Linked DNA regions of Rattus norvegicus. The protein of the gene in region 1 binds, or shares a complex with, the protein of each later gene. Links are inferred from orthologs where the notes say so. Each region holds a gene or a part of one and is shown on either strand. Other genes may lie near its edges.

Evidence for each region.
Region 2: Fam8a1 (region 1) and Os9 share a complex: the UniProt entries of both Homo sapiens proteins name them as parts of the HRD1 complex. The link is inferred for Rattus norvegicus from reciprocal best matches to the Homo sapiens genes FAM8A1 and OS9.
Region 3: Fam8a1 (region 1) and Ube2j1 share a complex: the UniProt entries of both Homo sapiens proteins name them as parts of the HRD1 complex. The link is inferred for Rattus norvegicus from reciprocal best matches to the Homo sapiens genes FAM8A1 and UBE2J1.

The regions. Positions count from the first base shown.
Region 1 is NC_086035.1:18,238,855-18,243,110, forward strand, and holds the start of Fam8a1 (protein FAM8A1), read right to left. Parts: upstream 2,850-4,256; 5' UTR 2,749-2,849; coding exon 2,124-2,748; intron 1,131-2,123; coding exon 1,010-1,130; intron 1-1,009. UniProt on the Homo sapiens protein: Plays a role in the assembly of the HRD1 complex, a complex involved in the ubiquitin-proteasome-dependent process of ER-associated degradation (ERAD).
Region 2 is NC_086025.1:64,826,176-64,830,278, reverse strand, and holds the start of Os9 (protein OS-9 precursor), read left to right. Parts: upstream 1-1,208; 5' UTR 1,209-1,237; coding exon 1,238-1,399; intron 1,400-1,810; coding exon 1,811-1,987; intron 1,988-2,661; coding exon 2,662-2,725; intron 2,726-2,848; coding exon 2,849-2,925; intron 2,926-3,127; coding exon 3,128-3,226; intron 3,227-4,103. UniProt on the Homo sapiens protein: Lectin component of the HRD1 complex, which functions in endoplasmic reticulum (ER) quality control and ER-associated degradation (ERAD).
Region 3 is NC_086023.1:52,232,170-52,235,816, forward strand, and holds part of Ube2j1 (ubiquitin-conjugating enzyme E2 J1), read left to right. Parts: intron 1-1,869; coding exon of another isoform or gene 1,870-1,997; intron 1,998-2,997; coding exon 2,998-3,276; 3' UTR 3,277-3,647. UniProt on the Homo sapiens protein: Catalyzes the covalent attachment of ubiquitin to other proteins. Functions in the selective degradation of misfolded membrane proteins from the endoplasmic reticulum (ERAD) and is essential for cells to recover from ER stress.

The DNA.
Region 1 (4,256 bases):
TCTCATTGAAAATGCTTAGCAAGTGGGAACAGGCATTATCCTAAGACTTGAGGTTTTCAAGTAAATGCCAAACTTTGCATTAGAATGTGCTCAACTCTAAGCAACCCCACTGAAATTGATCACCAACAGTCTGCCTACCACAGGCTCTTTGTACTTTGAAAATGTGTGTGTCTCTGTTTATTACAAATGTATGCCACGCATGTGCAGAAGCTAGAGCTGGAGTTAAAGGCAGCGATGAGCTGCCTGACATGGGAACTGACAAGCAGTGAGTACTCTTAACCACTGAAGCTCTTTGTGCTTTCATGGTAGAGACTTCATAGGCCAATGAGAAGGAAACTAATACATTCCAGGCCCAAGAGAATGGTTAACAAAAAACAAGCCAGGTCTAAAGGCTCCTTTTACCTATTAAAATCTCTTTTGAGACAGTATTTAATTGTACCTCTGGCTGGCCTTGAACTGGGATCTGCCTGCCACTGCCTCCTGGGTGCTGGAATTAAAGGAGTGTACCACCAAAGCCTCACTCCTCTTACCTCTTTCCCATAGATCTTAAACAACATATTGAGGTTCCTCCTTTGTTTCTTCCTTAAAACCAACAAGGGGCTGGTAGTGACAGCTCAGTGGGTAAAGTGCTTTACGAAGAAGGTCAGTCCCTGAGTGGGTCCCAGGACACCTATGTACCTATGTAGCATTGGGATGGGGGAGCAGTGGATTGGGGGACTTGATGGCCAGCCAGTCCAGCTGAAATGTCAAGCTCCAGGTTAAGTGAGAGACCCTACCTCAAAAAACACAGCAGAGAGTAGAAGACACCCAAAGCAGACCTCTTGGCTACACATAAATACACTTTAAAACAATAAATAAGGGAACAAATACAACTGGTACAGATTTCATGGAGACATCTTAGCCTTGGACATCCATCACTCAGAATTACTCATGGGCATGTGCAGAATTTACAAAACAAGATCCCTAAGTAGCAGCCCCAGCTACTTAACAGTGACTGTTCTTAACTTACTTTATCCCACTGAGATGCATGATGCTCAGGACAATGGTCGCTTTTATAAAGAAGAGAATAAAGAAATCCACCATCTCTGCCATAAATCTGTGGGCCAAGGATGGAATGACATACTCTCTACCTGTAAATCGGGAAGAAAAGGGAAAGGAATCTCTCACACAAGCTTAAGAACCAAGTCAGATAATGAAGGGGCAAAGTAAAGTCAAGGTCCAACTTAATTTTTAAAAAATGATAGCCTTGAATCAGCCAACAGCAATGATCCCATCAAGAGAACATGTTCCTAAAATGTCTAATAACGAGCTGGACGTGGCAAGCTATGCCAGTCATCCCAGCATTCCGGGCCCAGGCTCGGCAGAGTGGCTGTAAATTTTCCTACAGTTTGCTAGGACTCATAACTACACAGAATTGATTACTAGATGATATTCAAGGCTTGGGCCCAGTCAAAAGTTCTCATTTATAATGTCAATCGCCTTTCAGTCCCACTGTCCTTATACAGCCCAACTTGGTGATTTCTCGTATTCTAATCTCAATCCTCCAACAGTGCGCTTGCCACCTAAGTTTAGCTTTGGATCTTGTCCAGAGCATGGAGATCACCGAGAGAATGGTTTGATAAGCATACGTCTCTCTATATACAAGAAGGGCTACTAGTGTCAGGATTAAGGGAATCTATTGGTAGTGCCAGGTCTTAAGGGAAGAACAATCAGCATTGTACTTTTTTTTTTTTTTTTTTTTTTTTTTAGAATTTAGGGCCTGGGCAAACCATAGCAGATGTACGTGGGAACTGTCAATGGTAGTAGCAGTTCCCCAGTTACATATTTCAAGATCCTTCGACAGACCCCTTTGGCTAGCACAGGAATGTAGTAAGAGCCTATAGGCTGCACAGAAGTCTTATTGCAAGTTTGAGGCTAGCCTGGCCTATACACTGAGTTAAGGTTAGCCTAGACCACAAGATGAGATCCTTCCAAAAAAAAAATGGTGGTAGGGGTAGCAGTAATTTAAAAAAAGAACCCGCGGGCCACCAGTAATCCTACACATAGGAAGTGGAGGCAGATGAATAAAATCCTCTACTCTATCCCTCCGATGTTCTACGCACCCACCTCAACCCCGTTCTCACCTGCCTGCCGCCCGGTGTCGCTCGCCGTCCGTGCAGGGGCTGCAGAGCCCACCCTGGTCACAGGGACCGCCCGGGCAGATGCCTGCACGTGCGGGGCCCGGGCCGTCAGGCCCGCGACGGCTGTCGGGGTGGCGCCGGCGCTCGTGGCCGCCCCCGGCCCTGGCGCCGCAGCGCTTAGGAAGTAGAAGGGGTTGTAGTAAGCGAGCTGCGGCGGCGGCGGGGGCGGCGGCGGGGCTGCGGGCTGAGGGGCGGCGGGAGGCGGGCCGCAGTAGGCGGGGAGGGCGGCCAGGCCGCTGTGCCAGGTGAGGTAGCCGCAGTAGGATTGCCACAGCCATTCGTGCACCTGCCGCGAGTACTCGCGCGCGCTCAGCCGCCCCGGCCCGTCCGACGCCTCGCAGCCCCCCGGCTCCTGAGGCTCTGCGCCCGTCTCCCGGCGCTTCCGGAGCTCGCACTGCGGCTCCGGCTCCGGCACCGCCGAGGCGACGGTCGTGAGAGCCGGGGGCCGGGGGGCGGCGGCGGAGGAGGAGGAGGGAGAGCCTGGTCCGGAAGGGACCGGCTCGTGGTCCTCGCTACCGCCGTCCTGCCCGGGAGGGCGGCTCCGGGCTTCCTCGGGCCCCTCTGCCATCGTCGCCCCGGAGGCACCCTCCGCGCCGCCTGTCACTGCGCCGTCGCCCGCTCTCGTCAGCCCCTCCCCAACCGCTCGGTCGCCACCACAGCAGCAGCGGGCGTCAACAATCCGTCGCCGGAAGCGGAAACCCCGCCTCTCCGGCGCGTTTGTCTTGGGGGGTCGGGCGGGCGGTGGTGTTTCTTTGTGAGTGGTTCCTAGTTACGCGCCGTCTCTCTGGTTCTTCTGTTGTACGTTTTAATCATAAATTGTGGCATATTCGGTAACGTAACGTATCGCAGCATAGTATAACAACGTGTGCGATGCTGAGTACGAGTTCCTGGACACTGTGTACGCACCCATTTAAGCTACATCTGTGAGACATTCGGCATCACTCTTGAGAATTCTAATGAACTCCCATTACCAAGGCCCCTAGAGAGAATCCTGTGGGCTTAGGACGTGGTTGTCCCTTGTGAAACTGCATCTGATTCACCAGAATTTCCAAGCGGGCCCAGTCCTCCAAGCACAGTGCCTGTTTCTTGCTTATCACCTTTGTGTATGGTTTTTGTCTTTTCATCTATATGCAGCCTCTCAGATACTGATATCTTAATACACTTTGCTACGTTAAATTAATAAGCTCATTAGTGGTATTAGTGTGACTTAGTATTCCCAGGGCTATATAAGGAATCTACAAGAGTCAAATATTGTGATAATACTTAACGATTATTGCGCTGGCTAATTTCATGTCAACTTAATACAGGTTACAGTCATCTGAGAGGAGGGAACCCCAATCGAGAAAATACCTCTTATAAGATTGGACTGTAGGTAAGCCTGCAGATCATTTTTAAAACTGGTGACTGATGTGGGTGGTACAACTGCAGACAGCTGTTCTGGGTTCTATAAGAAGGAAGACTGAGCAAGCCATGGAGACAAGCGATGGGATGTGCAGCAGCTCCTGCCTCCGGGTTCTTCCCATTTGAGTTCCTGTCCTGGCCTCCCTCAGTGATGGAGTACAATGTAGATTTGTAAGCCAAATAAACCCTTTCTTCCCCAGCTTTTGGTCCTGATGTTCACCACACCATTCTCAAACTGCCAAAATGAGTTAGAATTAAACAGCTTATTCTTAGGAGAAAGGACGGGTAATGGGGAACAAGTGTGGCCACTCAGAGAGGAATGCTGCACCTAAGTAAGGGCTTTACCAGCAGCAGCAGGGGAGTGACTTGGGGGAATTTGCCGTGACATTTTTTTTTTTTTAAAAGCACCTGATCTATAAGGTTGGGACAAAAATGTGTGGCTATTGAAGGGGCAATACCTAGACACCTTTGTCTTGAGAAGTTGGTGTTCCTGAGATCTTGCCTCAAAGGAATAAGGCAGAGAGTGATAGGGGAGGGCATGGGAACATGCTTAAACTGGACAGACCTCTCTCCAGGCCCATTGTCCACTTTTTTTTTTTTTCGGAGCTGAGGACCGAACCCAGGGCCTTGCGCTTGCTAGGCAAGCGCTCTACCCCTGAGCTAAATCCCCAACCC
Region 2 (4,103 bases), on another chromosome or scaffold:
TCCTCCTCCCCTTCTTCTCCCCCTTCCTCCTCCTCCTCTTTCCTTCATTGCCTCCTCAAGACTTTGCTGTTCATAAGCTGGGCTGGGCTCCAACCGTCTATTCTTTTTGCCTCAGCCTGTAATTATAGGCATCCACCTCCACTCTTGGCTCCATTGTCATTTCTTCTTGTTTTGAGACAGAGTCTTGTGTATTTCAGGCTTAGATCCGACTCTGTGTAGCCAAGGACTGCTTGGATTCCAGGTGTACACCAGGATGTTTGGTTCACACTGTGCGGCAGATTGAACACAGGGCTTTGCACACGCTAAACCAGTGTCTGTGTGTATTTGAAAGAGTGTGACTCATCTCGAAGGACGCTCTGGAACTCACTATATGGAGGAGGATGACCTTGAATTATTGATCCTCCTGCCTCTGTGTCACAAGTGCCTGGATTACAAGCATGCACTACCACACTCTCCTTCTTAAGATAATTTTATTGGGGGGTTGGGGATTTAGCTTAGTGGTAGAGTGTTTGCCTAGCAAGCGCAAGGCCCTGGGTTCGGTCCCCAGCTCCAAAAAAAAAAGAAAAGAAAAAAAAGATAATTTTATTGGAGGACAAACTCAGGTTTTGACACAGACTATTTGGCTGCTGGTAATATATTAGCACATATGTGTGTATATGTATATATAAATATGTACATATACGTATATTTGTGTATACATATATGTACATAATTGTATATATAACACATAAATATATGTGCGGATACATATATGTTTATATGAAGAGTCATGCTTCTGTATAGTATGTTTTGCGAAAGATATTAAGTTTCAAAGATATCCCCCACACTCACCATCCGTCTCAATATTCTGCCCAATGGAGGCTCCATACATCGCAAGAGATATACGAAAAAGTAATAAGAAGCTCTATTCCTGACAGCTGGGCGAAGGCAGGGACCAGACAAGAAGCAAAAGAACACAGCCAGTCCACACCTCTCAGGAATAAGGAGCGAGGAGGGGAGGGGCCTAATCTCGTAGCTGATTGGTTGTTGTTCCTGACCAATCAGAAGCAGCTATTGATTTTTACTACCAGTGCGACCCGCCTCCCTGGAGGCTTTGACGCCACGTTTACAAATGAGGATGAGTTACGTAAGAGAGAGCGCCCGGGCAGCCAATGAGAGCTTGAGGCGCTAATAGACGGGTGAGGCCGCTGCCAGGTTTGGGGCGGAAGGAACATCTCTAGCAGAGACGAAGCGGAAGATGGCGGCGGAGGCGCTGCTGTCCAGTCTGTTGGGATTGCTATTTCTGGGGCTCCTGTTACCTGCGCATCTGACGGGCGGTGTCGGGAGCCTGAATTTGGAGGAGCTGAGTGAGATGCGTTATGGCATCCAGATCCTGCCGTTGCCTGTCATGGGAGGGCAGGTGAGGGATGTAGGGCGAGGCGAGGGTCCTGTGCAAGAGGTAGGGGCGCAAGGTGGAGGAGGAAAGGCAGCTGCGCGTCCGGCGCGGGAGACCGGGGGAATGAAGAAGACATGGTGGTGTTTCTACGATCCTGCTGGGAATGGCAGGCAGATCTATCCCCGGGGACCAGGCACCGGCAGGGGTGGGGCTCTCCGCTGTGGACCTCGGGTCCCCAGGTCGCGTTGAAAGGAGCCGGACCCCGCCAGGTGGGGAAGCGAGAGCGCCCTCTCCTCCGCTCAGCCGGGGCTGCTGGAGGACTTGTGGCTTATTCTCTCTTCCACTGGGCACGTCCCCAGGGTCTGAAGAGGGATCTCGTTGTTCTTGGTCCCAGCGTCTGCCTCCCTGCCCCCCTTCCCGACCCTTCTTTCCCAGAGCCAAGCTTCAGACGTGGTGGTTGTGTCTTCAAAGTACAAACAGCGCTATGAGTGCCGCCTACCAGCTGGAGCTATTCACTTCCAGCGTGAAAGGGAGGAGGAGACACCTGCTTACCAGGGGCCCGGGATTCCTGAATTGTTGAGCCCAATGAGAGATGCCCCTTGTCTGCTGAAGGTGAAAGGAACTGGGGTGGGCGGAGTGAAGTCTTGGGAACTGGAATGGGGGGCGGTGGGAGTTAAGGGGCCATTGGTGTACTAGACATTGTTTTCAGACGGAGGAGGGGGAAACAAAGCAAAGACTCTGCTGAGTGTAGGGAAGGGTTACGTTAGAAGATCTCAAAATTGGTTAAACCAAGATGAGAAGAACAGTGATGGGATGGGAAGAGCAGGAGCTTACCCATAAAGTCACCCTCTGCTCCTATTGCTCTTTACCCCGGGATGCCATTGTATTCAAAGAAGTTCACTTAATACTTGAACCTGTGGGAGGGTCCTTCTGAGTGCTTCAAGGATACCATGATTTCTTATCTTTATGGAGGGCAGGGAATGACTTATGCCTGTGATCCTAGGTTGGATCACAGTGCACTGTGGCCCTGTCTTACCCCTTTCCTGACAGACAGACAGACAGACAGACAGACAGACAGGGTGTGGGTGGGAATCAGTTATACTTTAGATGTGCGTCTCTGGCCATGAAAAGAAAACAGCTGTCCCTTCTCTTAGAATCAAGAATGCATGAGGGGAGAGAGAGCAGGAGGTGAGAACTCAGTGACAGGTTATATATCTTGGATCCAGGAGACTGGTTTCACAAGGAGCCGTTTTCGTGCCTCCTGATTGTTCTCTTTCCATTGTCAGACCAAGGACTGGTGGACATATGAATTCTGTTATGGACGCCATATCCAGCAGTACCATATGGAAGGTGAGTAACTCCTACATTCTCCCTAAGCCTTCATGATGCCGTGTGGATGGCGACCCTCCCTCTCAGTCCTCCCTCCTAGGCCTCATAATAGAATAATGTGCTTTACTGTGGCTTCTTTTACAGACTCGGAGATCAAAGGTGACGTCCTCTACCTTGGCTACTACCAGTCAGCCTTCAACTGGGACGATGAAACAGCCAAGGTGACTGGCTGGGGATTGGGGTTGGAATGGGGACTGGCTGAGCTTCAGACAGACAACCCAGGCGACAGGAGGGTCAGACTGAACTGCTATGTTTCTTGGGGTTTGGTACCCATCAAGTCCCCTGGATCAGGTCTTTTGATCCCCGGGTCCCTGTGGGAGAGACCCTTCCTCATGCCCTCATCCTACCTCATGTTTTCTCCAGGCCTCCAAGCAGCATCGGCTGAAACGCTACCACAGCCAGACCTACGGCAATGGGTCCAAATGCGATCTCAATGGGAAGCCCAGAGAAGCTGAAGTTCGGGTAAGTCTTCGAAGAAAACCTTCCCTGAATAACAATAGTCCATCTGTTACTATGGGAGAAGGATGCTTGTGCCCTGAAGTGAACAGTATCTCTTAGGTGTAGAGCCCAGTCTGGGGCTGATGTCTAGCTGCCGGAGTGATATCATTGCATTTGTGGAGGTAATTTAACTCTGCGTTTCCCATAGGCTACCCTCAGTACTTCCAGGCACATTTAAGCCTTTCCAACATTTCTCCTTTCCGTTACCTAAGCTGTAAACGTTAGCGTCTGTCTGTCTTTGACTCTTCTTGCTCTGGGTGTAACATGGAGACATCGGCCTTAACTCTTCCAGCAAAGTGGGAAGCAAACAGGAAGTTCCTGCATGTGAGGAGGGCCTGATATACAAGGGATGCTAACCCAAGAAGTGAGTCTGAAAGAAGCCACAAGTCAGTGGTTCTCAACCTGTGGTCCGAGACCCCACAAGGACCACACATCAGATGCCCTGGATGTCAGATATTTACATTATGACTCATAACAGCAGCAAGATTTCAACTAGAAGAAAATTATCCCATGGCTGAGGGGTGGCCACCACAGCAGGAGGAACTGTGCTAAAGGGTCACAGCGTAGAACCACATCGTAGAACCAAGGATGAGAAGGAGGGAGATAAGGCTAGCTCGCTCAAAGCCCAGCTATCCTCTTAATGGCCTTTTAAAACTGGCTTCAGGGCTGACAGCGTCAGCGCACGCCTTCGATTCCCAGCACTCTGGAGACAGAGGCAGGTGGATCTCTGTGAATGCAAAGGCAGCCTGGTCTACCTAGTGGGTTCCAGGACAGCCTCAAAAACCAAAAGCCTCTCACCAGTTGGGCATGGCAGTATACACCTGTAATCTCAGTAAGTTGG
Region 3 (3,647 bases), on another chromosome or scaffold:
CTTTCAGGGATGCATCAACATGTTTTAAATCTACTGGGAAGCACCTTGTTACGTATTCCAGCTACATTAGATATCATTTATGTTGTTATTAACTGTCTATGATGTAGTGTTTTTATATCTGATGAGAGCTCGTGTTTGCCAGGCTTACCAGTTTCCTGGATCCACCCAGGGACTGAAATTCTGAGGAAGCCATTCTATTTTATATTAAAAAGTGTTCCAGGATGGCTCAGTGGGTAAAGGCATTTGCCATGCAAGTCTGGCGACCTGAGTTCAATCCCTGGAGCCCATGTAAAGTTGGAAAGGCCGACTTGTCAAGTATGACATGGCACGTTCATGGCATGTAATACCACACATGCTTGCCTACAGTAATAAGTAAAAATTAAGAGCATCCTATTTAATATAAAAAACAAACAATTCACTCAGTCGGTTGTTCTGGTTACTATGGAGAACTTGCTGTACATACCTATGACTGTACTTATTTTAGAGAGGAAAAGTTTCAGTATTTTATAAGATTTCATTAGTATTTAGCCAGTTATACAAAAGACATCTGAAATATAGAAACCAAATAAAACATTATATAAGCCCTTTTGGGGAGCAGGTTTCAAGACAGGGTTTCTCTGTGTAGTCCTGGCTGTCTTGGAACTTTCTCTGTAGACAGCCTGGCTTCAAACTCAGAGATCTGTCTGCCTCTGCCTACTGAGTGCTGGGATTAAAGGCTTGTGCCACCACCGCCCAGCAGTAAGCAATGTAATTAAAGCACATGTACTGATTGACTAATTAATTAATTTTGCAGTACCAAGATCAAACTTAAGAGTTTTGTGTGTGCTGGGTTATTTAATTTTTTTTTAAAGACATGGTCTTGCCATGTGTTCCAAGTTAACGTTGAATTTACCAGTCCTCCTGCCTCAGCCTCCCAAGTGCTGAGATTACAAACATGTTTTAAGGGTTGTTTTCTAAATGTATTAATCACAGTACTAAGGAGGCTAAGAGCCACTCTAACCAAGTTCACAACTTAGCTTTTGAGTCTAAATCTGAAGCCTGCAAAAGGATATGTTAACAGTAACAATATCAGCGATGATTAACATTTACTAAGTCAGTATGTGTCATAGCACTTGGTGTCACTAATCCATTTAACCCTCACACCTGCTGGATTGGATATTATCTGCCTCGGACAGATGAGGGAGCCGAGACTTAGGTTAAATAGCCGGCTTAGGCAAACACATCTAGCAGGCAAAGGCAGACATAATAAAGGCTCATTGTTTCGTCTGTTTTTTGGGCAGGATAATTTCCCCTCAGACTAAGGGAAAAATAATACAGTCAATACAAGCTTTGATATATCTTCCCCTTAGACTATAGTGCTATGTTGTCATGGTTCTCCTTAAGAACTTGTTCCTTGATGGTTATGGGGGTGGAGGAGGATGGGGCAAGAGGATCAGGGGAGGATGCAGGAACGAGACTGTAATGTTTGTTGGCTACTGTAACCAGTTCACTGATTGAATCTTGGTTCACTTACTGTGTGGCATTTGTGATGGCATGGGACCTCATATACCATACAATTTTCTGTCTCTGTGCTCCTCAAGGGACAGACGGTCCCTTGGAGTCTAGCTTGTACAAGTCCAAGTTTATGCAGCCATAGTTCAGTGTTAGTACGCTCTTTTACGCAAACTCACCAGTAGTTTCTTTATATCTTTGTATTATGGGTTAACTACATTTAAGAAATTTCAAAGAATAATTTTAAGAAATTCAGATTATCTAAGTTTTTTTCCTATGCTAGGGATCAAACTCAGGGTTTTGTGGATGCTATGAATGTGCTGTGCCACAACGGGGCACCACCACACCTTTATTCTGAGATAGTGTCTTTCTATGTAGCTCAGGCTAGCCTTGGATTTACCATCCTGTCGTCACTCTGAGTGCTGCTGTTACAAGTGGGATCCACCATACCCAGTTAACAAGTGGCTGTTGAAACGAATGTCAAGCTTCAGACGGGCATTCTGCAAGTAACTGAGATCAGCAGTCCCCCATGTTCAAGCTGTTGCCAGCACAAAACTTATAATTTTAATCATTTGGGTTATATTATCTGATTCTTTTAAGTGTTTGCATTTTTTCTATTGGAAACTCTTTGACATTTCTCATATGTAATTCATATTATACTAAGACACTTCATTCTATTTCTTGTCTTAAAGCATCAATATGTTCTAATGGAAAGGCTATTCCTAGTGAAAGGACTAAAGCCATTGATGCAGTGCGGGCAGGTTAAGGAGTCTGTGTGTACTCCACCTTTCAAGCTTCCCTGAGTGTGCTGTTGCTAGTTTTAATGTCTCCAAGGCAAACTTGAGATTTTGAAACCCTGTGTCACATTATGATTGTCCCCTGACTGAGCCAGTCATTGCAGCAATTGGAAGATGCTATCACCTGGGACCTTGGGGGACAGCCGTGCACACAGTGGAGCACACTGAGGCCCTCATGGACCCAGGGTGCCCTCATAGCATACAATACTGAATACTAAGTAACAGATACTTTAGACCTGGGTTTAGTTCACTTGTGTGGGATTATGGAAAAGGGTAAGCTGAGTTTGAAAACAATCACATTTTTATAATACCAGCATGAAAAATTAAAATTATTTCCTTATTATTGTCGATGGAGGGATGTCAATTGGTAAGATAATACTGAAGAGATCAGTGTCCTTCAGGGCCCTTGGATAGAAGAGCAGTGTCCGGAAGCTTAGCAGAAATTGCTGCAGCTGTCCACCATCTTCAGAGAAACAGCCACAGTGGACCTTTGTCTGCTGTAAATGGGTTCCTCCATTTCATCGAGCTCACCATAACCTGTGTTTCTAGCTTATTTATCAGGGTTGGTTCCTGGTTTCCGCATTCAGATGGTTCTTGGTAAATTTGCCCTAGTCATATCTAATACTCTAGGTATTCTCAAACTGTTAACAAGTGCATGTACAATTTTTCTTTTTGTGGCCAATTTCAAACAGATTTTATTATTTCTTAGTATGGCGCCCAGAATCCATCAGGAGCACCCTTGCCACAACCTACCCAGCCAGCTCCTAAGAATACCTCCATGAGCCCTCGGCAACGTAGAGCCCAGCAACAGAGTCAGAGAAGGTCGTCTGCTTCCCCCGATGTACTCCAAGGCCAGCCACCAAGAGCCAACCACACGGAGCACGGCGGGTCAGCCATGCTGATCATCATCCTGACTTTGGCACTGGCAGCTCTCATCTTCCGACGGATATATCTGGCCAACGAGTACATATTTGACTTTGAGTTATAATGCTGGTCTATGACTTCAGAGCTGTGACTCAGTTGCGTCATTAAACATTCTGCATTGGGTATAACCTAAGGATTGTTTACAAAAGATTATTTTGTATTTACCCTTCGTTACTTTTTTTATTGTTATAAATTCATTGTGCTATAAGTAGACATTCAGGCTGTGGCCCAGCAGTGTGTCGGAAGCCATAGTCCTTGTCTTACTATTTAATCTACTTCACAGACAAGTAACTTACTGCGGTTGCTCACACCCACGCTGCTTTTCTACAGAGCGCAGTGCTTTTCTGTGTGTCCTTTGGCATTCTCAGCTAAGAAGGTGTTTCCATTGAGTGTTATGGCTCCTCAGTCTCGCCTGTGAGTCCTTCTCTAGTTAGA